Linked DNA regions of Elephas maximus indicus. The protein of the gene in region 2 interacts with the protein of the main gene of each other region in a biochemical or structural test. Links are inferred from orthologs where the notes say so. Each region holds a gene or a part of one and is shown on either strand. Other genes may lie near its edges.

What was found.
Region 1: the proteins of EHMT2 (region 2) and CBX1 form a complex in vitro, tested with the Homo sapiens proteins (2 studies listed by BioGRID). The link is inferred for Elephas maximus indicus from reciprocal best matches to the Homo sapiens genes EHMT2 and CBX1.
Region 3: of the proteins of EHMT2 (region 2) and histone H3, one has a biochemical effect on the other in vitro, tested with the Homo sapiens proteins (3 studies listed by BioGRID). The link is inferred for Elephas maximus indicus from reciprocal best matches to the Homo sapiens genes EHMT2 and H3C14.
Region 4: the proteins of EHMT2 (region 2) and CBX3 are reported together in a solved structure, tested with the Homo sapiens proteins (2 studies listed by BioGRID, with this or other methods). The link is inferred for Elephas maximus indicus from reciprocal best matches to the Homo sapiens genes EHMT2 and CBX3.

Annotation. Positions count from the first base shown.
Region 1 is NC_064837.1:45,401,667-45,408,803, forward strand, and holds the start of CBX1 (chromobox protein homolog 1), read left to right. Parts: upstream 1-4,124; 5' UTR 4,125-4,334; intron 4,335-7,137. UniProt on the Homo sapiens protein: Component of heterochromatin. Recognizes and binds histone H3 tails methylated at 'Lys-9', leading to epigenetic repression. Interaction with lamin B receptor (LBR) can contribute to the association of the heterochromatin with the inner nuclear membrane.
Region 2 is NC_064819.1:93,416,065-93,423,143, reverse strand, and holds the start of EHMT2 (histone-lysine N-methyltransferase EHMT2), read left to right. Parts: upstream 1-4,056; coding exon 4,057-4,336; intron 4,337-4,435; coding exon 4,436-4,654; intron 4,655-4,758; coding exon 4,759-5,018; intron 5,019-5,935; coding exon 5,936-6,020; intron 6,021-6,113; coding exon 6,114-6,154; intron 6,155-6,307; coding exon 6,308-6,463; intron 6,464-7,079. Other genes in the region: ZBTB12 (zinc finger and BTB domain-containing protein 12), read left to right, coding at 53-1,432. UniProt on the Homo sapiens protein: Histone methyltransferase that specifically mono- and dimethylates 'Lys-9' of histone H3 (H3K9me1 and H3K9me2, respectively) in euchromatin.
Region 3 is NC_064821.1:184,006,005-184,011,758, forward strand, and holds histone H3, read left to right. Parts: upstream 1-4,750; 5' UTR 4,751-4,802; coding exon 4,803-5,213; 3' UTR 5,214-5,252; downstream 5,253-5,754. Other genes in the region: histone H2B type 2-E-like, read right to left, coding at 2,528-2,908; histone H2A type 2-A, read left to right, coding at 3,286-3,678. UniProt on the Homo sapiens protein: Core component of nucleosome. Nucleosomes wrap and compact DNA into chromatin, limiting DNA accessibility to the cellular machineries which require DNA as a template.
Region 4 is NC_064826.1:87,352,157-87,359,345, forward strand, and holds the start of CBX3 (chromobox protein homolog 3), read left to right. Parts: upstream 1-4,187; 5' UTR 4,188-4,314; intron 4,315-5,504; 5' UTR 5,505-5,532; coding exon 5,533-5,556; intron 5,557-7,189. Other genes in the region: HNRNPA2B1 (heterogeneous nuclear ribonucleoproteins A2/B1), read right to left, coding at 3,040-3,045.

The DNA.
Region 1 (7,137 bases), on a different chromosome or scaffold from region 2:
TGAATAATTACAGTTTTTCTGCCAGTCATTCTTTCAAGTAAAAAATGGTGTTCCATGAAAAAAGTAGCTAGTTAGCTCGCACATCTCCAACAATCCTACAACCATCATACTTTTGTTATGCAGCAGAAGTGCTTTATGGATACTTCCATTTCACCACACAGAACACTAAATGACTCTAGGATGGAGATGAATAAGATTAATAATTCTTACTGCTTCATCAAGGGCATTCTTAAGTGAAAGTGACTTTTTAAATTCTTTTATTGCATGTGTGTGGCAACAAAGAATACAATGACTCTAGTACACATTGGTGCTACTGCTGTGATTCACGCTAAGATAACAGCAGTTTCACCCACCATTGCTTTTGCACCATCACTGAAAATGTCAACATAGAGAAAGAGATAGATAATGTCGGAATTGTTATGAAAATAGTTTTGGTCTGGTAGACTCCTTGAAACTGTCTCAGGAACTCAAAGGAACCTGTGGACCATATTTGGAGAACTACCTCAGGAGAATGTATCTATATTCAACGAATATTTATTACGCTCTTCCTATATATAAAAAATATATATATATATTTTCTTATATGGGCTAAGGTGGCGTAGTGGTTAAGTGCTATGGCTGCTAACCAAAGGGTCGGCAGTTTGAATCCGCCAGGTGCTCCTTGGAAACTCTATGGGGCAGTTATACTCTGTCCTATAGGGTTGCTATGAGTCGAAATCGACTCGACAGCACTGGGTTTTTTTTTTTTTTTTTGATGGAGTAAGGAGCCCTGGTGGCACAGTGGTTAAAGCTATCCACTGCTAACCGAAAGGTCGGCAGTTCAAAACCACCAGCCGCTCCTCTGGAGAAAGATGTGGCAGTCTGCTTCTATATTTACAGCCTTAGAGACCCTAGTCACAACAAATTCCATTGCTTTGGCTTGGGCTCCTATGGCCTAGGCACTATTTGGAGCACTAAGGATAAAGCAGTAAACCACACAAAAATATTCTGACCTTCTAGAGCTTATATTTTTAAAGATATAAGAACTTAGCACCATCTCCCTGCACATTACTCAATAAACGTTTTGAAATAAACTCATTAAATAATTTGCAGTGTAGGTTTCACAAACAGGTGGTGCCCTATCTCTAGTTTATTTTCACAACAGTGATTTCTAACATTTGACAATAAGTACCTGTCCAGTAATGATCCCTTCTCAGGACGAAACCAATCAATATTAGAGGCTGTGGTGTTTGATTCAAGAAGTGTTCATTTTAATTATTTCTTTCCCATTGCCATCCAGTGGATTCAGACTCAGGGCAGTCTCACATGTGCAGATTACAACTGCATTCCATAGGATTTTCAAGGCTGTGACCTTCCAGAAGCAAATCATTAGACCTTTCTACCAAGGCACCTCTGGATGGATTGGAACCTCCAACCTTCCGACTAGCAGTCAAGCACTTAAACCCAAAGACTTCTTACATTTTAATTAGAGTCCAATTACTACAAGGAAGTAACCTGAGAATCAGACTGACCTGGGGCAGTAAGACAGACTGATAGCTCCAAGGTATTTTTGCCTTTTAAAAGAGGGTGATTGTTAACCCCAATGAATAAATCTTTAACAATAGAATTTCAAGTAGCAGGTCAAAATGAAAACAAAGAATTTCAGACAGTACGGAGGAAAATACTTTCTGATTTCTACACTTCCCCTGGAGGATCCCTGGTGGTACAGTGTTTAAGCATTGGGCTGCTAACCTAAAGGCTGACAGTTCAAACCCACCAAGGACTCCTTGGGATAAAGAGATGGCGATCTGCTCCTGTAGATTACAGCCTTGGAAACCCTATGGGCAGTTCTATTCTGACCTATAGGGTCACTATAAGTCAGAATCGATGGCAAAGAGTTTGGTTTTTGGTTTTTATACTTCCCCCACTCTAAATCACATCTCATAAGCTGCTATCTACTGTACCTAAAATACCTCCCGTTTACTGAATGTTAGCTATATGTCATTCTCTTTATACAACATTACTGTTAATCCCACAACAGTGGTGCAAGAGAGGTCGTAGATGTTATTTTTGTGTTATAGATTTTCATGAAGGCTGAGATTCAGAGAAGTAATGCAGTTTGTCCAAGGTTATACAGGGGCCCTGGTGGCACATTGGTTAAGAGCTCGGCTGCTAACCAAAAAGTCAGCAGTATAAGTTCACCAACTGCTCCTTGGAAACCCTAGGGAGCAGTTCTACTCAACAGAATATAGTTTGATTTTTGGTTTTGGTCATACAGCACACAAATAGTAGAAACAGAATCCAATCCAGTTTGGCCTGCATCCCAAGCCCTTGTTCTTTTTGGAACATTATACTTCTTCCCTTCCTCACATTCCTTGTGATTTGAGAAACTTGATTTGACAGAAGCATTTCCTGTGGACATTAGCAATGCCACTTCAGATGTCTTGAGCGGTATTACTATGACTGAGTTGTTGTTCCTTTTAGAAGTAGAACTCTGAGGGTCTGAATAACTTAAAATGTCACCATTCTTATCGGAAAAGAGCTAAACCTATTTAATACCAACGGACTTTCAAAATGGATATTGTTAATGCAAACTTTAGGCTCTTACGTGCATGTTTCTAAGTAAGGAGCCATCACGGCTCTATGCCCTTCTTGAATTAAGGCTGCCAAATATTACTTTCTCATTTTTTGGTGGGAAGGCACAACTGGTTTATGCTAATCTGCAATCAGCTAAAAGCTCTCGTTAATAATCTGTTGTAGAATTCTGCCAGGGATGGATGTCAAACTTTCAAGCCTAAAGTTTCTGCTTTAGTGTTTAGGGACCCGGCACTGCACATCCAACCCAAATGTTTCAGGAAGAACTGCCCTTGTCTCTGCATCCCCAACAGCCTCTCAGCAAAACTCTATTATGATATTTCTGGGCTGGATTTCTTACATGGCAACTCTCCAGAGACCTGCACAGTGCCTAGCTCAGCAAAACTTATATAAATGCAGACCTCTGCATTCTGGGGTAAAATGCACTAGACTTTTAATTTCCCCTTTCCCCCCGGTTAGGGAAATAGTTTACTATTTAAAGTAAGAAAAAAGAATGTCACCTTTAGAAGTTCCGTCTGTATAGTTCCTAACTGGACAGGGAAAAGGAAAGTAAGGGAGAGAAAAAAAAAAAGCCAAAAATCTGGAGTGAAGAGATGAAGAAAAGCTTGATCACCTCTGTTTTCTGTTAGGTAGGAGGCAGAGATGTCATTCATTCATTTAATCATTTAAATGCCAGGGACTGCACTAGGCACTGGGGATACAGCAGTGAACAACACAAGGCAGGGTTTCCGTCCTCACCGAAGCTTGGCTTCCAGAAGGGAAGACAGATATTAACTAATGACATAAAGAAGGGTGTGACATAAAGTGGGGGGTGAATGTTACAATGGGAGATGGAATTTTTATTTGAACGGGTTTGGGGACAGCAATCTAGTTTAAATCAGGAGAACCAGAATACATCTCAAAACGCAACAAGCGTGGTTTGCTTGATTCTATGTTTCTTCGGTGTGGCTGGGTGAGGGGTGCTCACTGGCATAGCCAATGAAAAGGGTAAGTCCAGGATGCCTTGATGACACCTACCCAGGGGACCTTACCTAGTCTGGAGGATCAAAGAAGGCCTCCAAGAGGAAGTAATCTCAACAGTAAGGAGAGCGCTGGAGAGCTGATAAAATTCTGGTGAAGAACCTAGTAAGAGTCAAATGAGTCAAGGATATGAATTACACGTTCAAAATTTCTAATTTGCAACGTTCCAAACTATTGACCCAACTGAAACCCACTGCCATTAATCAATCCTGACTCGGAGTTACCCTACAGGACAGGGTAGAACTGCCTTAGAGTTTCCAAGGCTGTAATCTTTATGGAAACGACTATTACATCTTTCCCTGTTCTACCCGCCAAGCGGCTGGTGGATTGGAACCGGCAACCCTTAGGTTAGCAGCCAAACACTTAACCACTGCACCATCAAAGACCCTCCAAGCTACCGAAGACCTCCCTAAAGCCTTCGCATGCTGTGCGTGGCGGCGTATGATGCCGGAGCACTTCGGAACTTGTAGTCTTGGGCCGACTCTGAGCCCCATGATGCTGTGCGACGGGTCGTCACGCCTGCGCAGTGAGGGGGGCGGGCAGCGCAGAGTGCGAGGCTCTTTTGTTCGGCAGAGGGGGAAGGCCGTTGGTCCGGGCCTTCGGTACGTCGCTTCAGTGAGGGTCTCGACTGCGGCTCCTCGCCTTGTTGCTTTTGTGGGCGTCACTCCCCCGACCGGCCCGACGCGACGCGCCTGTAGCGCGGCACCGATTCCCCTCGGGCTTTTGGGCGCTGCTCTGAGGTGAAGAGCCCGCTAGAGGCGGGGAACGGGGGAGGGGGGTGGGAAGCGCGCGCGCGACGGCGGGAACCCGGGGTGAGGGGCTGCGCGCTCGCGACCGCAGTTGGGGGCGGGGAGCGCCTCGGGCCCCCTCTCAGGTTCCCGCGCCCTTCCCCTCCACTTCCCGCGCAGAGCTCTCCGGCTGGCTCGGAGGGTTGAGCGCCGGCCGCTTGAAGGATGGGGAGGGCGGGGCGGCGAATCCTGAGGAAGAGATTGAAGCAGTTCGGGGTGGGCCGAGTACTCGGGGGTCGCTCTTCGAGGGCCAAGTAGATGAGACAATGCTGCTTGGGTTGGGGTGGGCGGCTGTGGATTGGGCTGGAGAGAAAACATTTTAGTAAATTGGGAAAGGGACAGATGGGGCACCTTTGCTGCTTGGGTACGCGTGGGGAGAGGCTGACGACTGCGAGACCTAGATTTAGAGCTGTAACCTGAGGAAATTGGGTCCGCGGGAGCTACCAGAGGCGTTTTCGCTTGCGGGCTACGGAGAAGTAACTTTGAGTTGCTTTGAAGGGGGCGCTGGGCGGCCCAGGGGGTGCTGTTGGAGGAGGAGATATGCTGGCCTAGGTGTAAGCAGGGGGTGGGAAGTAACTTGAATAAATGGGGGTGGATCTAGGAGGAAATATTTCTCTGCCTGTCCTGGCTCTAGAAGGGGAGGAGCTGTTAGGATAAGTGGAGCCGAGGCCGCGAGGGTGCTTCTGTGAGGGGTGGAAGGGGAAAGCTGGCCGCTCTTGCTCATGGGTCCTTACAGTGGGGAGACTGTAAGAATAATGTGTGAAGAATGAATAAAACTCGCTTTCGTCACTTTTCCAGGTTTTTTACTGTCTTCATGATTCCTTTAGGAAATTCAAAACAAAACAGCCTAAGTGCAACTCTTGCTTTGATTCACAGTTCCATAAATTTTGATCTGGGATTGTTGCTGGTCTCACAGGAGGTGGTAAAATTGTAGAAATTTGTCGGTGGGTTCATAGTTAAGGAATGGAGTCAGATAATGAGACGGTGAGGTGGTGTGGGAAATCTGGAGACAAAGGAGAAAAGTATATGAGATGCTATTTTTGGGGGGGGAGGGGGCCCCAAATGTTTTTCTAGCCAGCCTTGTTAGAACAAAATGTGAATACAAAGTGGGCAATACTTTACCCTTTTTCAAAAGCACTGGAAAAAAAGTTAAGTACTAAGCTTTAGCTGAGGGGGTTTTGTGTGTTTGTGTTATGGTCAGACTGTATTGGTTTAATTAAATTGAGGTGGAGTTTACAAAAATAATCGTTTATTCCAGAACTGCCATCTAGGGATAAGATCGCTTTCTTAATTGTATGAAAAATCCTGTCAGCAGTTTGGGATAGTTCTGAAAGGTCCAAGGTTTTGGAATAGATACATAAATTAAAAAAAAATCAGGAAATTAGTGCCTTTGTTCCTCCCTTACAGACATTTATATGGAAAGTAGTATGATTGAAAGGCACCTGAATTGGAACTGGTCACACCTTAATGAAGCTTCAGGGCAGTGGAGGATCCTCAGTCATTTCCATTTTTCTCTGTGGTGATTTTTTTTTTGCATTGGCTGCTGTAATCTAAATTGTTTTTCATTAAAAATATAAGCAGCATGAAGCTTGGTGCTTCTAGCTTCTTAATTAAAGAGAACAAGTAAGAGTACTCTAGCCTTCTACTGGTTTTTTTTTTTTTTTTTTTTAATACAGGATACCTACAATTTTCCAACCATACAACTAAAGAAAAGAAGCAGTCGTATCTTCTTATGCCCATCTTAGGGACCAGGGAAGTGTTTTTTAAAAAAAGACACAATGAATTTTTATCATTTTACAGTGGTTTATCCAGCAGAATTTCCCTTTTTCATATACTCTCTGTGGTGGTATAGGAGATTTTGCATTGTATTTGATATATTTTCACTTCATAGGTTATCTCTGAAGAATTTTGGAGTGAAGTGCTAATGGCTAGTTTATACCAAAAAAAGCCCAAACTCATTGCCGTCGAGTCAGTTCCGACTCATAGCGACCCTGTAGTTTATAGGTTCCCATAAAATGGTGTTAGGCCTCTTGTTCATCCAGTGTCTGGTACATATTTATTAGACCATTCAGATTGTTGATGAATGAATGAATAGGGATTTGAGATCCTTTCTGAGAAGTGCAGATGTTACTTAATATAATTAATTAATGTGCATTTATGTAGTCCTTTTGCCTGTTCTAGATTTATGACATTTGGCAGAGTAGAACTATTGTTGTTGGCAAACTTGCATTAGCCTCATTTTTTAATGTACATGCACTGTTTTTAAATACAGAAAACGTATGTGTCTTAGTTATCTAGCACTGCTATAACAAAAATACCACAAGTGGATGGCTTTAACAGATAGATTTATTCTTTCACAGTTTAGGAGGCCAGAAGTCTGAATTCAGGGCACCAGCTCCAGCGGCAGGCCTTCTCTCTGTCAGCTCTAGGGGAAGGTTCTTGTTTCCTCTCAACACCTGTGGGTCTGGTGGTCCTTGGAGATTTCCATGTGTCTTGGCTTCAATCTTCCCCTGAGTCTAGGGGGTTCTCAGTGCAGGGACCCTAGGTCCAAAGGTTGTGCTCCACTCCCGGCTCTTCTTTCTTGGTGGTAGTCAGGTCCCTCCCTTATCTGCTCTCTTCTCTCTCTTGTATGATAAAAGATGTGACTCAAGTAAGGGTGTATCTTGAGTAAGGTGGTGACTTGAGTCACACCCTTTAGTAAGGGTGTTACTCAAAAGATACACTCCATACTAATCCTGTTCAGGATTTACAACAC
Region 2 (7,079 bases):
CTTTGTCTCTGACCGGTTTCCTTCCCAACCAGGGTTGCCCACCCCCGCCACAATGGCCTCTGGGGTGGAAGTCCTGCGCTTCCAGTTGCCTGGCCACGAGGCCGCTACCCTGCGAAACATGAACCAGCTCCGCGCAGAGGAGCGGTTTTGCGACGTGACCATTGTGGCCGACAGCCTCAAGTTCCGTGGCCACAAGGTCATCCTGGCCGCCTGTTCGCCGTTTCTACGGGACCAGTTCCTGCTGAACCCCAGCTCTGAACTGCAGGTCTCGCTGATGCACAGTGCGCGCATTGTGGCAGACCTGCTCCTCTCTTGTTACACCGGCGCGCTGGAATTCGCTGTCAGGGACATCGTCAACTATCTGACGGCAGCCTCCTACCTGCAGATGGAGCACGTGGTGGAGAAATGCCGGAATGCCCTCAGCCAGTTCATTGAGCCCAAGATTGGCCTCAAAGAAGATGGGGTCAGCGAGGCTGGGCTCATGAGCGGCATCACTACCACCAAGTCCCTCCTCCCTCCTGCTAGGACCCCAAAACCAGCCCCCAAGCCTCCTCCCCCACCTCCTCTACCCCCTCCGCTCCTGCGGCCCGTGAAGCTGGAATTTCCTCTGGATGAGGATCTGGAGCTGAAAGCCGAGGAGGAGGAGGAGGATGAGGACGAGGATGTGTCTGACATCTGCATCGTCAAGGTGGAGTCGGCCCTGGAGGTGGCACACCGGCTCAAACCCCCAGGAGGCCTGGGAGGGGGTTTGGGCCTTGGGGGCTCTGTGGGCAGCCATCTCGGGGAACTGGCCCAGAGCAGTGTGCCCCCCAGCACTGTCGCCCCTCCACAGGGTGTGGTCAAGGCCTGCTACAGCCTATCAGAGGACGCAGAAGGGGAGGGCCTGCTGTTGATTCCTGGGGGCCGGGCGAGCGTGGGGGCCACCTCAGGTCTGGTGGAGGCAGCAGCAGTGGCCATGGCTGCCCGGGGGGCGGGGGGCAGCCTGGGGGCAGGGGGTAGCCGGGGCCCCCTGCCTGGGGGCTTCTCAAGTGGGAACCCCCTGAAGAACATCAAGTGTACCAAGTGCCCAGAAGTGTTCCAGGGCGTGGAGAAGCTGGTCTTCCACATGCGGGCGCAGCATTTCATCTTCATGTGCCCGCGCTGCGGCAAGCAGTTCAACCACAGCAGCAACCTCAACCGCCACATGAACGTGCATCGCGGTGTCAAGTCGCACTCATGTGGCATCTGTGGCAAGTGCTTCACGCAGAAGTCCACACTGCACGACCACCTCAACCTGCACTCAGGAGCCCGGCCATACCGCTGCTCCTACTGCGACGTGCGCTTCGCCCACAAGCCTGCCATCAGGCGACACCTCAAGGAGCAGCACGGCAAAACCACAGCCGAGAACGTGCTGGAGGCCAGTGTGGCCGAGATCAACGTCCTCATCCGCTAGCGGGGCAGGTGCCGGGGCAGGAGGCCGGGGTCCCTGGGCTGGGTGGGAAGGTGCCTCCTGTGGCCTGGGAGAATAGGGGGGTAGGGGGTCTGGGGCAGGAAGGTATATTGGGGAACCTGAGGAGAGGCATTCTGAGAGGCAAAGATTTACTGCTGAAAAGATCCAGCCTCTTCAGAGCTGAAGAAAGGACAGATGGAGAGAGGGTCCTTTGAGAAAGCCAAGAGAATATGGAGTCCCAGAGAAAGATTTTCTTCTCTTAGAGGTGCATGGATATGTGGAGGGAGGGGAAGGGTCCTATAGAACGAATAGAAAAAAGACTGGAAAATGTTTTATTCTGGGCTAAGGCTGCCCAAGGGGAGGTTCTGACATTTCTTGAGGTAGGGATTGGGTGGGTGGGGCTTGGGAGGGAATTTGGTGGGGGCAGCTTACATGCTCCTGTTTAGAATAGATCTTTGGGAGAGGGAGTGGTAGAGGGAAAAGATGATCGAATCCCAGAAAAGGAAGCTCTTGCATGCTGGGGGAAGGGGGTACAATTTCTAGAGGGAACAAAGTAAGGTGCCAGGTAAAAGAACACAAAGATGAGCATCCTAGGTAGATACTGGGAAGTGAGGGTTGGAGGGGAGGGCACTTAGAAGAAAGGACACGAGAAGGGCTGTTGGGGAGGGAGAGGAGTAGAGACTTATACAGTATTTTTTAAGAAAACAAAACATATTTTTTAGGATCTTTTTGGAGTTTGGGGTTTTAGTTTTTCTGCTTTTATTTTCCACAAAATAAAAAACAAAAACTTGTTTTTTCTTTATACTCTGATAATTGTGTATGAGTGGCCCTTTTTTTTCCCCACCAGTTCTATGAGCATCCCACCCGAGACAGCCTCTTCCTCTGATGCTGTGTCTTCAGTACCCAGAGGTCACAATTCATGCAGGTCCCATGGCTGAAGGAGCCCAGCCTTTGGGGCAGGGGGCTCCTCTGGCCAGGGACTCTCAGTCTTGTAACCTCAACATGTAGCAGGGTAACTCATAGCACAAATGTGCTGCAGTTGTTTGGCAGTGATGATGTTACACATAACTGCTCCTTTTTGAGGAATTTGGTATCAGGGCTAGGGATGGGCTAACGGTAGTCAGTGCACCCACTGAAATTGCAAGCAGAATTCTGTGTTGGACTTTTTTTTTTTTGGTCTAGAGAAAGGTCCATCCCTGTTCAATGGGAAAGTTAAAAACCACTGTTTGGGCTAGGGTGCAGGGAAGACTACAAGTCCCAGAAAGCTCTGGAATAGTTTTTAACCAAACAGTACTACAGTTCCCAGAAGGCCTTGAATTGGCCTCAGGTGCCCCATATCACAACCACCTGCCTGGATCCTATGCTGCGTGTGAAATCATACAGATATTTCCAAACTTTGGCCAGAATGCAATACCTAAAGGGATGGTACCCTAAATACTACTACCTACTTCCACGGACAGTTGGACTACGTACGACCCATGGAGTGCCTGACTTTGTTTGTGAAGTGTTTAGTAAAGCTTACTTACTGCAGTGTCACCAGATAGTAATGACTCTCGGGCCGCTGGGGGCTTACCTGGATCCCTAGTGCGTGTGATGCTGTAATACGCCCTGCATAAACAGAAGAGACATTGAGTCCCAGGTTTTTAAAAGGGAACCCTGCTCCAGGGGACAGAAGCAGAGTGTCAGAACCAGCCAAGAGTAAAGGTATCCTCCGCGCGGCCCTGTTGTACCCTTTTTGCTCGTTAGAGAAGTGAGGCCGAGCCTATCTGTTGACCCAGAAACTAGAAAGCGAGCAAAGCAACCAGCGGCGGGAGACGCTCACGAGGGCCACAAGAAAATACGGCCGCTGTCGGGAGCCGGGAGGCTCACAACTCTGCTAGTTACCTAAAACCAGGTAGGGGTGGAGAAGCCACACCTGGAGACGGGCGTGCCTCGCTCTCGGTTCCCCGCAGAGCTGAGGTGAGGAATGGCAGGAATTCTCGCCTGTGGCCCCCAGCTTCGACCAGCCACCGCCATTTCCAGCGCTGCTCCCGGAGAAAAATAACCAGCAAGCACGTTGCGGCTCCTTTAAGGCTCCTCCTCGCCTTCCCGCCCCCCCGATCACGTGACGCGGGGCGGCCGCGCGCCGGCTCGGCCCCTCGCGCGAGCGGCGATGGCGGCGGCGGCGGGAGCTGCAGCGGCGGCGGCGGCCGAGGTGCGGAAGGGGAGGGGGAGAGGCGGGTGCATGCCCGCGCGCGCGCCCGGGGGAAGCGCGCACCCGTGCAATGCTCCGGGGGTGCAACGGGGCCGGGGGGCCCGGGCGGGACTTGGAGCAATCCGGGGGGCCAGCACCGGGGGCGGATGAGGGGACCAGGGGGTGGGAGGTGGGGGGAGTGGGCACGGAGGCGCGCATGCAGCCGCCGGCTGCCCCCGAGTGGGTGGCGGGCGCCGCGGCCCCAGCGGCACGCGCGAGGGGCACGAGGGGCCGTCCGCCGGGCTGGGGGGCAGCGGGCGCTGGAGGGGTTGGTGCCAGGGGTCCCCGCGGCCTGGGGGACAAAGGGGGAGCGGCGCGTACAGCCGGGAGGAGGGGGCGGGGCCGGGGCGCGGAGGCCCCGCCCCCTCCCCCTCCTCTTCTCTCTGCCCCAGAGATGCGGGGTCTACCGAGAGGGAGGGGGCTGATGCGGGCTCGGGGGAGGGGTCGTGCAGCCCCTCCGGGCAGCCGAGGCCGCGGAAGGGGGGGCACCCATAGGGGGAGAGGTAGGCCCCGAAGCCTGCTCTCTCTTCCCAGGGCCCAGGCGTCCTGGGCCCCCCAACTCCCTACTGGGCTGACCAGCTCTCCCGTCCCCTGTCTCCCCTCCCAGGGGGAGGCCCCCGCTGAAATGGGGGCGCTGCTGCTGGAAAAAGAGCCCAGAGGAGCCACCGAGAGAGGTGAGTGTGCGGCAGAAACGGCCCACTTGAACCTTCATCAACCCCCAGCACAGGATCCCGTGAGTTCTTAGCCCTGAACTTTTTTATCTTTCTTATCAGTTCATGGCTCTTTGGGAGACATTTCTCATAATGAGGAGGCCCTACCCAAGGCCAGCCCTGATCCCCTGGAGCCGGCAGGCCCCTCATCCCCAGCTTCTGTCACTGTCACCGTCGGCGATGAGGGGGTTGACACCCCTGTGGGAGCCACACCGCTCATTGGGGATGAGCCTGAGAGTCTCGAGGGAGATGGGGACCTCCATGGGGGCCGCATCCTGCTGGGTGAGAGGCTGGGGAGCCTGGGGTCGGGGGGAGTACCATGGGGGGGTCCTCCGAGCCTTCCTTGTTATTTTACATTATGTCTGCCTGTACGTCTTGTCTTCTAGGGCATGCCACAAAGTCATTTCCCTCTTCCCCCAGCAAGGGAGGCGGGGGTGCCTGTCCCAGTCGGGCCAAGATGTCAATGACAGGAGCTGGGAAGTCACCCCCCTCAGTCCAGAGCTTGGCCATGAGGCTGCTGAGTATGCCAGGGGCCCAGGGGGTGGCAGCAGCAGGGCCTGAAGCCCCTCCGGCCACCACCAGTCCAGAGGGGCAGCCCAAGGTCCACAGAGCCAGGAAAACCATGTCCAAACCCGGAAATGGACAGGTGAGGGTGGGGGCAGGGTGGGGGGAACTAGGGTAATTGACCATAAAGCCCTTGTGGGCTTTTTAAAAACTTAATTTCAGGTCTCTTGTAGCTCATTTACTTATTTACCAAGGACCTGTTTTTGTTGCCTGTCAAGTAATGGGCTGGGGCCTAATCTATGAACAGACGCTGTTCTTCTTAGAGTTTATTTTTTCAGAGAAAAGGAGGAGAAAAAAAGACATGTTAAAGAGTTAATTGTATAGTTAATGTCTTAATTATTTTTGTGATAACGAGTATGTAAAGGAACTTCAAGGCACTTTTTCTTTCTACCTCTAAGCAAGCCCTCAGGGGGATGTTTCCCTCCCTTTGAAACCTGTCCCTGCTCCGTTTTAAGGTTTTATTGGGAATTCCTACGGGAAAGAATGTGAGGGCCACAGAAATGGCAAAGAAGGTAAATCACAAAGTCCCCAGAATCTCAGAAGCTTTATGGTAGGGTTTTTAAGGGCTTTTGGTATGATCTGTCCTGAATGTAAGGAGCCCTGGTGGTGCAGTGCTTAAGTACTCAGCTGCTAACCGAGAGGCTGTTGGTTCGAATCCATCAGCAGCTCTGTGGGAGAAAAACATGGCAGTCTGCTTCCATAAAGATTTACACCCTTGGAAACCCTGTTCTACGGAGTCGCTATGAGTGGGTTTGGTCCTGGATGTGGTTTTGGCCGTTTTCTCATCTGTAAAATTGGAGTAGAGGGTCAATGATTAGAAAGATAAGTAAGTGCTTGATATGGAAAGTGGTTGATATCTTGTTGTTATATTCTGGTTCTTGGAGCACCAGATGGCATTTTTGAGGGTATGTCTCACCAACCTGCTCATACCTGGGACTCCAGGCTAATCAGCAGAACTGTAGGTGCTCCCTGATCCCAAATGCTCCCTCTCACCCCCAGCCCCCAGTCCCTGAGAAGCGACCCCCTGAAGTACAGCATTTCCGAATGAGTGACGACGTGCACTCTCTGGGGAAGGTCACCTCAGGTCAGTTTCACCTACTACCCACCCGCAGCCTGACAGTAGCCATTCTTGAAGGTGTAGGGCACAGGCCTCATCCCTTTCATTCTCTCCTTCCAGATGTCGTGAAAAGGAGGAAACTGAACTCTGGAGGTGGTCTGGTAAGCCAGGAGAGGCAGGGAGCGAGGCCTTCCCACCTTGGGAGGGAAGGACTGCTTCAAGGGTGTAGACTCTGCGGCCACACCCTGCGTCCTCGAAGTGGGGGCTAATGGGAGTGGTTACCAGCAGCCTCAATTTTTCTGATCTTTTTCTAGTCGGAGGAGTTGGGTTCTGCCCGTGGCTCAGGAGAAGTGACCCTGCAGAAGGGGGACCCTGGGTCCCTGGAAGAGTGGGAGACGGTGGTGGGGGACGACTTTAGTCTCTACTATGATTCCTATTCTGTGGACGAACGCGTGGACTCTGACAGCAAGGTGAGGTCCGCAGGCCTGCCCTCCCCCACCAGCACTCCCCCAGGTCCAGGGGTTTCTCACCAGTCTTTGTTTTACTGTTTATTGGCTTTTTGTTTGGATTTTATGATTCTCTTGCTCTATAATGCTATATAAAATGCTTTAAAAATCTAACACAAGTACTTACTGGATTGTCTTAAAGTAAATCCCAGGTACCGTATCGTTTTATCTGCAAGTATTTTTATGTGAGTCTGTCAGCATAAGGAGCCCTGGTGGTGCAGTGGTTAAGCGCCCAGCTGCTAAGCAAAAGGTCAGCCGTTTGAATCTACCAGACACCCTGCAGGAGAAAGATGTGGCAGTCTGCTTCCATAAAGATTTACAGCCTTGGAAACCCTATGAGGCAGTTCTACCCTGCCCTACGGAGTCACTGTGAGTCAAAATCAGCTCAGTGGCAGTGGGCTTGCTGTTTTTGGTTTTTTTTTTTTGGTCTGTAAGCATAAGGCTTTTTGTGTTTTGACATCACCGTGTTACTGTTTTTGTATCTAAGAATTTTACCATTGATTCCTTAATACTGTCAAACACCCAGTCGGTTTTCATGTTCCCTCAATTGATTCATAAATGTTTTTTTTTGTCGAGGTCC
Region 3 (5,754 bases), on a different chromosome or scaffold from region 2:
CATAACGGGGCACAATTCTACTCTGACACACACGGGATTGCCGTGAGTTGGAATCATCACCTAAACCTAAGAGCTGCTTTCTGAGAAACACGTAGAGCAGTGGTTCTCAGTCTTGGCCGTGGGTTAGAATCACCTGGGCAACTTCACAGGGCTACCCCATAAAACTTAAATCAGAATTTCTGGGGGTGGAACCCAAGATCAGTACTTGTTAAAGGTCCCCAGGGAATTTCAATATGCGGCCAAAATTGAGAACCAATTAACATGAGGGATTAGGTGGATTCTTTAATGAAAATCAGGATACAACTAGAGAAAACAGGAAAAAATAAATGCTGCATAGTTAAATATATACATTGTAGGGCTATCAACTACTAAATTAAATTTCATGACAACATGAAAAAATAAAGTTCAGAGGTAGTCCTTAAAGGCAATGTTTTGTTCTGTTTTCTGAGCCCTGGATAAGTCAAACTACCAACTCAATATATTCACTTGAATATCAAAGAGCTTCTCAAATTTCAATCGGAAGCTCCTCCAATGCCCCAAACCATACCTCCTCCCAGGAGTCCATCCTTATTTCGAACATTGCTATCTACCCAGTTGCTCAAGCCAAAAAGTTAGGAGTTTCACTCATAACCAAATCCTGTCAGCAGATTATTGATCCAACTTCCAAAATATAATCTAAATCCCACCATTTCTCACAGTCTCCACTGCTATCACCATACTCCAGTTGGGTATCTCTAACCAAACCCAGGGGAGTCTCAGAATTTAGCATGCATCAGAATCAACTCCCAGGGCTTGTTAGATTGCTGGGGACTAGGAATTATCGTTTCTAATAAATTCCCAGGTAATGCTGATTCTGCTGGTCTGTCAGGTGCCTGCGAGTGGATAGCGACCCCATGTGACAAAGTGTAACTGCCCCTTAAGGTTTCCTAAGCTGTAACCTTTGCAGGAGCAGACCACCAGGTCTTTCTCCTGTGGAGCAGCTGGGTAGGTTTGAACCACCAACCCTTTGGTTAGCAGCCAAACACTTAACTACTGCTCCACCAGCACTCCTTCCTGTTGGTCTGGAGGCCAGATTTTAAGAACCACATCCAGCTCACAATGCTGCAACAGCCTCTTAATTTGATGCCTTCTATTGTCGGAGCCATTGTCGGAGCCCTGGTAGCGCAGTGATTAAGAGCTCGGTTGCTAACTTAAAGGTTAGCAGTTCAAATCCACTAGCCCGTCTTGGAAACCCTGAGGCAGTTCTATTCTCTTATAGGGTCATATGAGCCTGACTCCACAGCAGTGGGTTTACTGTTGCACTGGTGGGACAGTGGTTAAGAGCTGCTAGCCAAAAGGTCTGCAGTCGGCACCCACCAGCCAGTCCACCAGCCAGTCCGTGGAAACTGTATGGGGCAGTTCTACTCTGTTCTATAGAGTCATTATGAGTCAGAATCGACTCAACAACAACACATTTGGTTTTTGGTTTTGGTTTTCTGCTGTTGTCAGCCTAGGAACCATGATCCCCAAAGCAATCAGAGTAACCTTTTTAAAGGTTTAAAGGTTTAATGAGCTCATATTATCCAACCCTACCTGAAAATAGTCCAATGGGTTCCCAATACACTGGAAATAAATTCTAAAACCAATCACATTCCGCTTGCGCTACACCATATTTTCACTTTTTTTGCATTCCAAACTCCAGCTTCGGAAATTATACATATTTTGTTCCTATTATACGGGACTGTCTTCTGTATCTCGACATGGTTGTTACAAAGGGATAAACTCCGTTGATAATTCTTGGGAGTAAAACATTATCACTGCATGATTAAATTAGGTTCGGCTTCACGCTATTTGATGTAAGAAGCGGCAGAGAGAAGACACCAGCACTTAATTCCCAAATTTAAAAATCAAGATTCCATCTCCCTTACTGGGGAATCTTTACTTGAACACCTAAGTCAGGTGCTTTGAAGAACTAAGGACACAAACTCCAGAAATTAGTCAGCAGCATATATGAAGGAAACTAAATTATCCTTTTTCAGTGCACAGCACAGGAGCACGTAATGGAACAAATCTAAGTACTCCCAGTAACCTTACCACTTGGGAATAACCGAATCGTATTTCTTTGCTCTTACAGGTAACTTATCCTGCTTAACGTTTATCAAGGTTAATACAGCACAAACCCGTGTTTCACTAGAAAACAACTACCAGAGCACTTGAACCTTCACGTGTGATTCAGGTACCCAACGTCAATTTTAATAGCAATTGAACGAAGGACGAATCCCACCTACTCCCCCAAAGTTTTTCCCCCACCCTCCACGGCCATAAACTCTTTTCCCATTTGAGACAGAAACGAGCTAGATACCTGTGTTTAAACAAGGTTTAAGTTTTCTTAGACTAGACTTGAAGACAGTATCAAGATACAGCGGGGACACATTAAACCCATAGGGCCAGTGACAGCTTCTTTCGTTGACACAATGGGCGCCTCTGAAAAGAGCCTTTGGAACAAAGAAGCCGGAGACTGTGCGAAGGCTGCATCCCATCAGGTGACTCACTTGGAGCTGGTGTACTTGGTGACGGCCTTGGTGCCCTCGGACACGGCGTGCTTAGCCAGCTCGCCGGGCAGCAGCAGGCGCACGGCCGTCTGGATCTCCCGGGACGTGATGGTCGAGCGTTTGTTGTAATGCGCCAGGCGGGACGCTTCCCCGGCGATGCGCTCGAAGATGTCGTTGACGAAAGAATTCACGATGCCCATGGCCTTGGACGAAATGCCTGTGTCGGGGTGGACCTGCTTCAACACTTTGTACACGTAGATGGAGTAACTCTCCTTGCGGCTGCGCTTGCGCTTCTTGCCATCTTTTTTCTGGGCCTTGGTAACAGCTTTCTTAGAGCCCTTCTTAGGAGCAGGAGCGGATTTGGCCGGCTCAGGCATAATAAGAACTACCGAACTGCAAAAAAAAACAAAAACAAAAACAAAAAACCCGTCCCAAAACCACTAACAAAACAATCGAGCCGAGCCTGCTGGCAACAGCTCGGTACTTATAGAGGCGGTACGCAAATGACGGTTCTGACTACGCTGCTCTGTGATTCGCGGGTTTCCAGTGGCGCCGGTGCGAGGCGGGCCAGATTATGTAAACGAATGGATTCTAACCGAGCTATGCTATTGGTTTTCAGGACAAAGATGCGCTGTAGCCAATCAAAACGGTCCGCAGACAATCGCCGTTCTGCCTATAAAAGGGTGAAGCCGGGCAGTTGGTGGCGACTTTGGCGGTTGTTTAGGTAGAGTTGTGTCCGTGTGTTCTCGGTGTAATGTCTGGGCGTGGTAAGCAAGGAGGCAAGGCTCGTGCCAAAGCCAAGTCTCGTTCGTCCCGCGCAGGCCTGCAGTTCCCGGTGGGCCGAGTTCACCGTCTGCTCCGTAAAGGCAACTATGCCGAGCGGGTGGGGGCCGGTGCGCCCGTCTACATGGCGGCGGTGCTCGAGTACCTGACAGCGGAGATCCTAGAGCTGGCGGGCAACGCGGCCCGGGACAACAAGAAGACGCGCATCATTCCTCGTCACCTCCAGCTGGCCATCCGCAACGACGAAGAGCTGAACAAGTTGCTGGGCAAGGTCACCATCGCCCAGGGTGGCGTTTTGCCCAACATCCAGGCCGTGTTGCTCCCGAAGAAGACGGAAAGCCATCATAAAGCAAAAGGAAAGTGAGGTTGATGGCTGGAAACTGCCCGCCCAGCCCCCGTCCTCCGTGGTCATCCGTATAAGCCAAAGGCTCTTTTCAGAGCCACCCACTCTTATCAAATGAAAAGAGTTGTTGCAATATCCAGTCTCAGTTCTACTTTCTTGATAGTGATAGCGGAGTTTTCCGTAGCCGCCATATAGGAGGTGGGTGGGAAGTGGAATACCATTTGTTAGCTTTTCTCCCAAGCTTTTGAGTTCCGAGCGTTTTTCGTTTATTTCATGGAGTGAGTTGCGCATACTAGAACTAAACCCAAGTGGAGGCACCAAATACCTTGGGCTCCACCCACGGTCTTTTAACCCACAAGAAGATACTGGGCAGCACCAACCCGTTAGCTCGCTTGGCGCCGAGTGCGCCACTATCAGTTCCCGAAGCTTTGCCCACCACCTGACCCGACCCTAGTTTGAGGGATACGTTATCACCCCCTTCTACAGGGGAGCAGTTTCCGAGAGTGCAGCGGACCCGAGTCTCAGCTTAGCCTAGCCCAGCGTCTTGGGGAATAAAAAAAAACGTTTGTGCGGCGGAGATACCGATCCACACTAGGCTTTCGCAGGCCAACTCTTAACCCTTGGGAGCGGACAGCTTTCCAAGCGGAAAAGCACCGACCAGGAGGAAACGATTAACCAGAGCGAACGGGGCGGCCGGGGGAGGGTGGGTTGCTCTGTGAAAAGGTTACAAGATTTGGGGGGGAAGGGATAAATGTTTCATTCCGGAGCTACAAACACAGCGCAGAAAGGCGGGGCACGGGTAGCGTGTCCTAAAGGAATGATAGGCGGAGGAGAAACGGTCTCACGAGGTTGCAATCAAAAACGCCTCTCCGAGGAAAGAATCGGGAAAAACGGAGAAAAACTGTTGGCAAACTGGAGAGTAGGAAAGGGGGCGGGCTGGCGGGGGAGGTCGGAGGAGGGTTCTGTCCAAGCCTATCGGTGACGCCAGGGCGGATGACGTCACAGCCAATGGACAGTCAGCGCGGGACTTTCAATTATCCTCCCGCCCAATCCGGGAGAGACTGCGCCGATAAAGACTGCTGCTGCTGGAGGGCTCGCATTCCTGTCCCTGTCGCTGCGCCGGTTAGCTCGTGTCTTGACCCGTTATGGCCCGTACTAAGCAGACTGCCCGCAAGTCGACCGGGGGCAAGGCCCCGCGGAAGCAGCTGGCCACCAAGGCCGCCCGCAAGAGCGCGCCGGCCACGGGCGGCGTGAAGAAGCCGCACCGCTACCGGCCGGGCACCGTGGCCCTGCGGGAGATCCGGCGCTACCAGAAGTCCACCGAGCTGCTGATCCGCAAGCTGCCGTTCCAGCGGCTGGTGCGCGAGATCGCGCAGGACTTCAAGACGGACCTGCGCTTCCAGAGCTCGGCCGTGATGGCGCTGCAGGAGGCGAGCGAGGCCTACCTGGTGGGGCTGTTTGAAGACACGAACCTGTGCGCCATCCACGCCAAGCGCGTGACCATCATGCCCAAGGACATCCAGCTGGCCCGCCGCATCCGCGGGGAGCGGGCTTAAGTTACACTGCACTCGGCTCGGGGTTCCATCTCATCCAAAGGCTCTTTTCAGAGCCACCCACAACAGCATTCGAAAGCGGCTGTGTCACTTAGTCTGGGCCGTCACCGGGTGGACGCTCCCAAAGTCGGGGAGAGGTTTAGGGGGGTGAAGCCCTAGGTTCCCGGGGGTGGGTTGCGTAAAAGATAGGACGGGTTGATAGGTTTGCTTAACCTGCTTATAGACCGCTTAACTGGTGGCTTGGAGCTTTACAGGCTTAACTGGGTTCGTAAGGTCACTGGCGCTTGCCCGTTTTGCGTCTCTGAGTTGGCCACCCACTGTCCCGCACTGAAGTTTTCCGCCATTTGGGGGCCTAAGCTCTTGTGCTTTTTTTGTACACGGCGACCCAGCATGCGAATTCGAGTAGGTAGGGAGTGGAGAACGAACTGACAGCGGAAGGAGTTCCTGCGGACGGGAGCGCGCCTGGGTCGCCCTGTGCGGGAACGAAGAGCTGCCCGCTGCCAGGTATGCGCTCATCCTTTCCCCCTCGCCCCGCCCCTGCCGG
Region 4 (7,189 bases), on a different chromosome or scaffold from region 2:
AAAAAAAACTTACATCAAATTTAAACCATATGTTAAACTGCATATTAGTTGTGTTACACCAAAAAAACTGTCTCAGCTGAACTACACAAGCTTCAAAGTCATTAATGCCTGATCTAAATTTACTTGACATAAATTTATTTTAAACAAACGTAATTATCATTTATTTAAAAGCTTTCTGGGGAGAAAAAAGTAAATATTCTGCGGTTCTTGAATGGTTATTAAAAGACTACCAAACTTTTACACAATCCTATGTCCAAGACATAAAACTTTGCTTTTAAGTAATAAGTAAACACTTTCAAAAAAATTCAAAAATAACTCTGGCTCTTTACAACCCGTGGTTGACTACGTATTTCAGAATTCAGTATCTGAAAAGTGCCATAATTAAATTATTTTCCCTTAACTGCCCCCTCTGGTGGTAGTTTTAATGAATCTCATCCAAGAAAACTCCAAAAAAAATACGGATTTCCCCCATATGCCCCCTGCGGGGCATTAAAGGTTTAAGATAGGTACAAAAATAAGCTCTCTTGAGCAAGGCAGGTTGATTTTATAACCAAAGTCTTCTACAACTTAAAAAAAAAAAATCGAATGCAGTTTTTTTTGGGGGGGGGAGGCTCTTGTATTTTGTATTTAAATGACAGTACAGAAACAATCTGGACCACTCTGCTAACCACAAAAAAATGTATTCACCTTATATATTAATATTTTTATTTAGCATAAGCATCTCACATTAAAAAACCCAACAAGAACGCTTAAATGCACTTAGAAATAATTCTGATGATTGCACAAGTTGAAAGTAACGTCTGAACTATACAATTAAAATGTTTAATAACTAATGTTTCGTTATATACATTCTACCACAATAAACAAAAATGTTTAAACCACCACCATAATTACTTGGTTTTTACTTATTACCACATTTACCAATAACACATTTGACTGGCTTATTTAAAAAAAAAAGCTCGGGCATACGGATTTTAATGTTCATCTGGCAAACTAGGGCATAAAACAATGTCTTAAATTTTACAAGTTGAAAAGAAAAAAATCTGAGCTGAAATTTTTAACACCTGCAAACATGCTACATTAAGAGCCCCTTTATCTGGGGTAATCATGGTCGTTAAACCTGCCTTACAGGTAGGTAACTTGTTAATTTTGAAAAAATATTCATAAACCAGGAAAATAGATTATATATCCAGGACAAACTACTGTGAAAGTGTAACAGACTAAAAGGTCAAATATATTTTCAAATACAGGAAGTGTTTTATTCCCAACAAGTATTACTGCTTTCAACCAATTCGATGGAAGTTCCTTAACGCAGACGATATTCTCCCGACTGCTCAAGAGAATACAGTAGAAGCCAATTCAGTCAGGGACTCCCCCTCCCCCAATATGGTTAAGTGTTTTCTGGGTTCTGAAAATGAAAAATAGAATTAACTTAAATTACCAAACTAAGCCCTTGAGCTACTGAAACAACAACACGCTGTCAGAACGGGTAACTATTTTGGATTCTCAAACTAATTTTTTTTATTCTATACCTTGTCACTAAAAACATCTCTTTAAACCCAAATCAATCACGGACATTTAATGCAAAAGCACATCCACAATCCTTAAAAACCAGTAACAAACGGCAAAAACGCATTACTTACCTCGGTCTGTTCCAAACTTACCCGATGTCCACTATCGATTATAAACAAGGTTATTTTATAAACGTGCTTTAGGGTCAAAGAAAATAATCAGGTAGACCCCCTTCGCTTGAGACCTTACGCTTAATCAATGCAATGACCAACCATGATTGCAAACAGAAATAAGAACAGCAAATAACAAAGTTCAAACACATAGCGACCTAGGCCCGAGACAGTTTTGGGCATAGCACTACAACGCATTACAATTTCGAGCCAGGATACAACTAATAAGTCATTTTTATTTCACTTTGCTCTGAACTTTTGGCTTGTCGTTCATGAAGATCCGCATGTTCACCCAGCAAACATCGAATTTTCACATAATTGCTATTCTGAATATGAATAAATCCTACAACTTATATATTAGTCCTTAGAATAATAAAAGATTCTGGAAAGAATATTCTCCCCCACATAATAATCTTCCCCACTGCCACCTCGTTCGTAATCGATACTAATCTAATGGCTCTAAATTTTGATATTTCCAAGTTTTCTGCGGTTAAACGGTCTTTTTTTAATCACTGCAAACCCAGAAAAATCCGTTATTAAAAGAAACACAAGCTGGAAAACATGAAACGGTTTCTTGGTAATATGGCTTGCCTAAAGGCCAGGCCCAAGGCCCAAGGCCCTCGGCTGTTACACCTTCCCTCTCTCGCGCGGTACCAACTGGCCCAGCCGAGCCTCCTCCCCACCCCCCACTCTTCTCTGTGGCTTCTGAACGCAATGGCGCCATTTCATCGAGGGGAAGGAAGAGCGCCTTTAACGAGGTGCGCAGGACTTAAAAGATCCGAGCTCACAAAACACACGAAATTCACCTCGAAACGACGTGGAAACAGCCCGAGAAGAGAGAGAAACAGTTAACTACTTCTATTCGGCAACAAAGTGATCACAGTAGTAGAATTTAAAGAGCAAAAACAAAAACGCTGCGAGGAAGGAGAGAAATGAAAATGGCGGCCGCCAAATCCGGTTCCCGGGAGAGAGGGGGAGGGGAAGCTCCGCAAACTCACGAGGGCCCCAAGCCCTCCGAAACGCTAGGACGCTGAGGCCCCTAAGTTGGCGTTTTTAAAAAGGGAATAGGAACTCCCGCCTCTGCACCCCACTTTCACTAAAGTGGGACTGCGTCCGCCATGTGAAAGTTCCCCATCCCCCAAACCAGTAAAAGGAAATGGCGCCGGGAGGCCGAGGGCGGTGGTGTACAAGCAGGCCTCCGCTAAGATCCCCCACATAAATGTCACAAGATCAACCGCCCCGGGAGCGGTCCGACTTCACTGCCGCTCTCCCACGGAGGCGGGTGGTCAACTTCCATTGAGGCGCCAACGGCCTCACCATGCCCTCTCCAGTAACTCATTGATTTCAAACCCGTTACCTCCATCGCGGACTCAGTCGCTTCAGCCCGATTTCCCGCAGCCGAGCGAGATGAGAGAGATCTCCGCGGACGAACACGAACCGGACTCGTCCTGGCGCTGTTGTGAGAGCTGCCGCTGCTCGAGAAACAACACCGCTAGGAGGACCTCCGCACGGGACCCGGCGCTGCTGCTACTGCCGCTAGAGCCGCTGCCGCCGCTTTTCTAGAACCTTCCCTCCGACTAACGCGTCCTCCCTTACGTCAGCTCGTTGCGTAAACGCCCTAACCGCCGCCAATGGCGGGAACGCTCTGCTCCCGCCTTACGCCAAACACGTACCCCTCCCCCTGCTTGCGGCTAGCGGTGGTGCTTGACGTTACTAGCGTAAATGGGACTCAGTGAATTGCGGAAGGCTCGAGTCTTGCGTATCTCCCTCGGAGTCGGGTCCAGCCCCCGCCTTAGCGCAGGGCAGGTGAGAAACGGTCGCGCAGTTTGAAATTAGCGCTGTCGGGAGCAGCTCAGTCAGCTGCCCGAAGAAGTAAAACCTGCCGCTGCACCTTTGATAATGCCCGTGGGTTCTCCCACCATAAAAAATACTGGTAGCCTTCCTCCCTTCGTTTTCCTCTTCAACTCCCTCCCCCCCTGTGCAGGACTGACTCGGCCCCTTCCGGAAACACCCGAAGCGATTTCTAGTCAACAAATTACTGGCCAACGTCCTTGGGGCCGGCCCCTAGAATTTGGTACTTTTTTTTTTGTTTTTTGTTTTTTAGGAAGGTCCTCCGGGAGGTACACTTCTCTTAGCTTCCAATTGTCCTTTCACCCCCAAGTTTTTCTCCACCTCCCTCCAAAGGAGGCAACCACTCCCAGGGGCGAGGAAGTGGGCGGAGTCCGGTTTTGGCGCCAGCCGCCGCGCTGCGGAGCAGAAAAGCCTCCGCGGAAAAGACTCCGACCACCGTCCCCGCCCCTCCTCCTCCCTCCCCTCTGGGGATCACCAGGCGCCAAGCCGCGAACGGTAGGTGCCGCAGTCACCGCCCCCTTCCCTGCCTCCCTTCCAACCTCCCACGGTCCAGGGCTCCCGACGGGCGCGGCCCCTCCCCGGCCGGGCGCGCGCGCCCTCCCGCCCCGCCCCTCGCCGCCCAGCGTGGGCGGTGCGTTTCTCCCCTCCCCCTCCCCGGCCCAGGCGGAGGCCCAGCGCGCAGCTCCCCAGCCCCCTCCTCTTCGGATGTGGCTTGAGCTGTAGGCGCGCAGGGCCGGAGACGCCGCAGACCCGGGACGTGGAGCAGCTCGGAGGCGGTGAAGTCGGTGTCTTTCTTTCTCTCTAGCTTTCACTGGGTGGTGGTGCTTCAGATGCTACATGCGCCCCAGGGACCCCCCCCTCCCAGTTCCCAGCTCCTGGATCCCGCCCTTCCCCGCCGGACCCAGAGTCGGGATCTGGCGGGAAGGTGTGGAGGGCAGGTGGAGGCCCGAGGCGAGCCGCGCTCAGGGCCGGCGTCTGTAGTTTGCTGAGGGTAGAGAGGTGTGGCGACAGCCGCTTTTTTTCTAGACAAAGCGCCTTTCTTCCCCTCCTCCCTCATCCACGTTCAAGAAGAGGGACCCTCCCCCGCCCGCATCTCCGGCCTGGGCGGCGAGTTGGGCCTCCCGGGAGGGCGGCGCATTTTCCCGCATCCGCGGGGCCTGGCACTGCACGCGGCCCGCTGTCCAGAGACGGCGGCGGACGCTCCGTTACGTGGCCGCCGCCCAGGTGCGGGGCCGGTGGCGCAGTGCCCTTGAACCCCGGCGCCGCGGCCTTTGTTTCTCCCCGCGGATGCGCTGACCACGAGGCCGCGCTCTCGGTGGGGGGCGGGCGCTTAGGCCTTTGCACACCCCAATCCATTTCGGAGGGTCCTGGGGCCAAGGGGAGATCGGGTGAATATGCAAGAGGTGATTTGTTTTTAAAAGTGTCATGAAATGGGAATGAGGCTTCACGGTGTGTTTTCCCTTTAGTTTTTTTTAACGAGTAATTGGGAAGAGGGGTGGTTTCTGAGAAGAAGTCAAGTTAGGGTTGTATAGGAAACTCTTTGGACTGTTAAGAGGTCTAGAGGAAAAATTCAGTATAGCTTACCGGTGTGGTTGGTTGGCTAATTTTCTCTCACTTTGAACAAAAAGGTTTGCCTTTGAATAAAAAAAAAAAACAGAGCTAAACATAGAATTTGGTGTAACTGGGATTTAGAGTGGAAAAAATATTTCTCCTGTTTTTTGCACCATGTAAAGCTCAGTCTCAGGTGCAGATGTCCCTCCCTTCCCCCACTTGGATAAAAGTGATATATTACTTTAAGGCATATATCATTAATAATTCACGCAGGAGCTTAAATCCGCTTCTCTATGGATTTCTATCCATGTTTGATATGTGCGCTACCGACGTGGGGGTTGGAATCCAAGCAAAACTTGTGTTTAGCTACCTTTTTTTGTGTCATGCAAACTTCCTTTTAACTGTCATGCATTTTTCTAGTAATAGCTCTTCAAGTCTGCAATAAAAAATGGCCTCCAATAAAACTACATTGGTAAGTTAATGAAAACCTAAATACATAAGGATCTAACTCAAGCTTTTTTCCCAAAAATTATAACTTTGCATCTCTGTGGTTGGAGAAATTTACATTCATATATTCCCCACACACCCCAGGCCCCCAGTATTATTATGGGGAGAATTAGGGGCAGAAAATTACATAGAGATTCTTACTGACTTGCCTTAATACTTCTAATTCAATTAAATAAACCTAATCTCTTGTCTAGTTCTCAAGAGTTTAGAAGGACAGTACAGTATGAATTTTGCCCAGTACTTTTTTCTTGCGATAATAAAATACAGAAAATTATGGAACATGGAAAAATATGTTAAAAGGATAGGCCGTTGAAACAGTAAAGCCACTGTTGATTGGTATAATAAACCACTGTACCTGAATTCTGGAGAAACCAAGTATTTTCAGTAATATTCAGTTTAAAGAACCAGATATCTCGTGCACCTAGTTTGGGGCAAATGTTGTTCAGTTTTTCAGATTACTCTGGTCACTTTGTCATATTTCAATTTTGTTTAAAACGCATGAGGACCTTTACATTATTGCGGTGGTTGTTTTTTAATATACAAAAAGAACCAAATCACTATGTGTGTGAGAGAGAGAATACTAAATCTGCTGGATCTTTTGAGCAGTTAAATTTTTTCTCTCCAGCCACAGCATCTTAAACCCAAAGTTGACGTATTTTAGGTTTGATTAAAAGTTTAACAAATGTGTAAAGGCATGTAGAGTCAGCCATATCAAACTATAAATCAAAAAAAAAACTGGAATGTTCACATAAAAATCACGAAATTCAAAGTTATGGTTCCCACAGTATTTAATTCTAACACATTGCATTAATAGTAATCATAAGCATGTAAAGGTGAGTGTTAACATCTAAGTAAAGGGAAACATTTGGTTTTGATCTGCATTCATTCCTTGGTTTCTACACTAAAAAGGGCAAATTGGTTATTTTGAATTTGTGCCATTGTTAGATTGCACATTTAAGTCAAAATACACTAGGACAGATTGAAATATAAGGCCTATCTGGTGAGTCCCTGGCATGAATGATTTCCATATATAGTTCAAAATCATTAGTGGAGAAAGCATCTTCTGTGTCCCCTCAGGATTGGAGCTGGCCTTCAAATTCCATTATCAGTCAACCAAAATGTAGGTACTAGAATTGGGTTACAGTCAACTTTATCCTTCATCAAATAAGTATTGGGTAGGAAAGGAATTAGCTGTCCATGAGGCAGAAAGTTCTGAGGATGAATATACATACAGAAAACACACACTTGCTCCCATTAAAATTAAATTGCTTTTGCACAGTTTGGTAGTCTTGGTGTTTGTAATTTATTTGTGTATAAATATTTTTTTGTAAATGATCACAAATTGAGCAATTGTAATGTGTGTGTGTTTGGTTTTTTTTTTTTTTAATATGTGAGAGATGTGAGCTATTTTTGAAATGGGAAACTGAGTTTTATATAGTAGGAAGTGCATTTTGCCTCCAAAATCCACTTTGTGCTGGAAAAATAAATCTGGCTTAAACCAAATAAATACTTCTATTTTAAAAGAAGGGCATTTGAAACTAGCTTATGTATCCCAAGATAATAAATATAATATAGCCCCCCCCCCCTTTTTTTTTAAG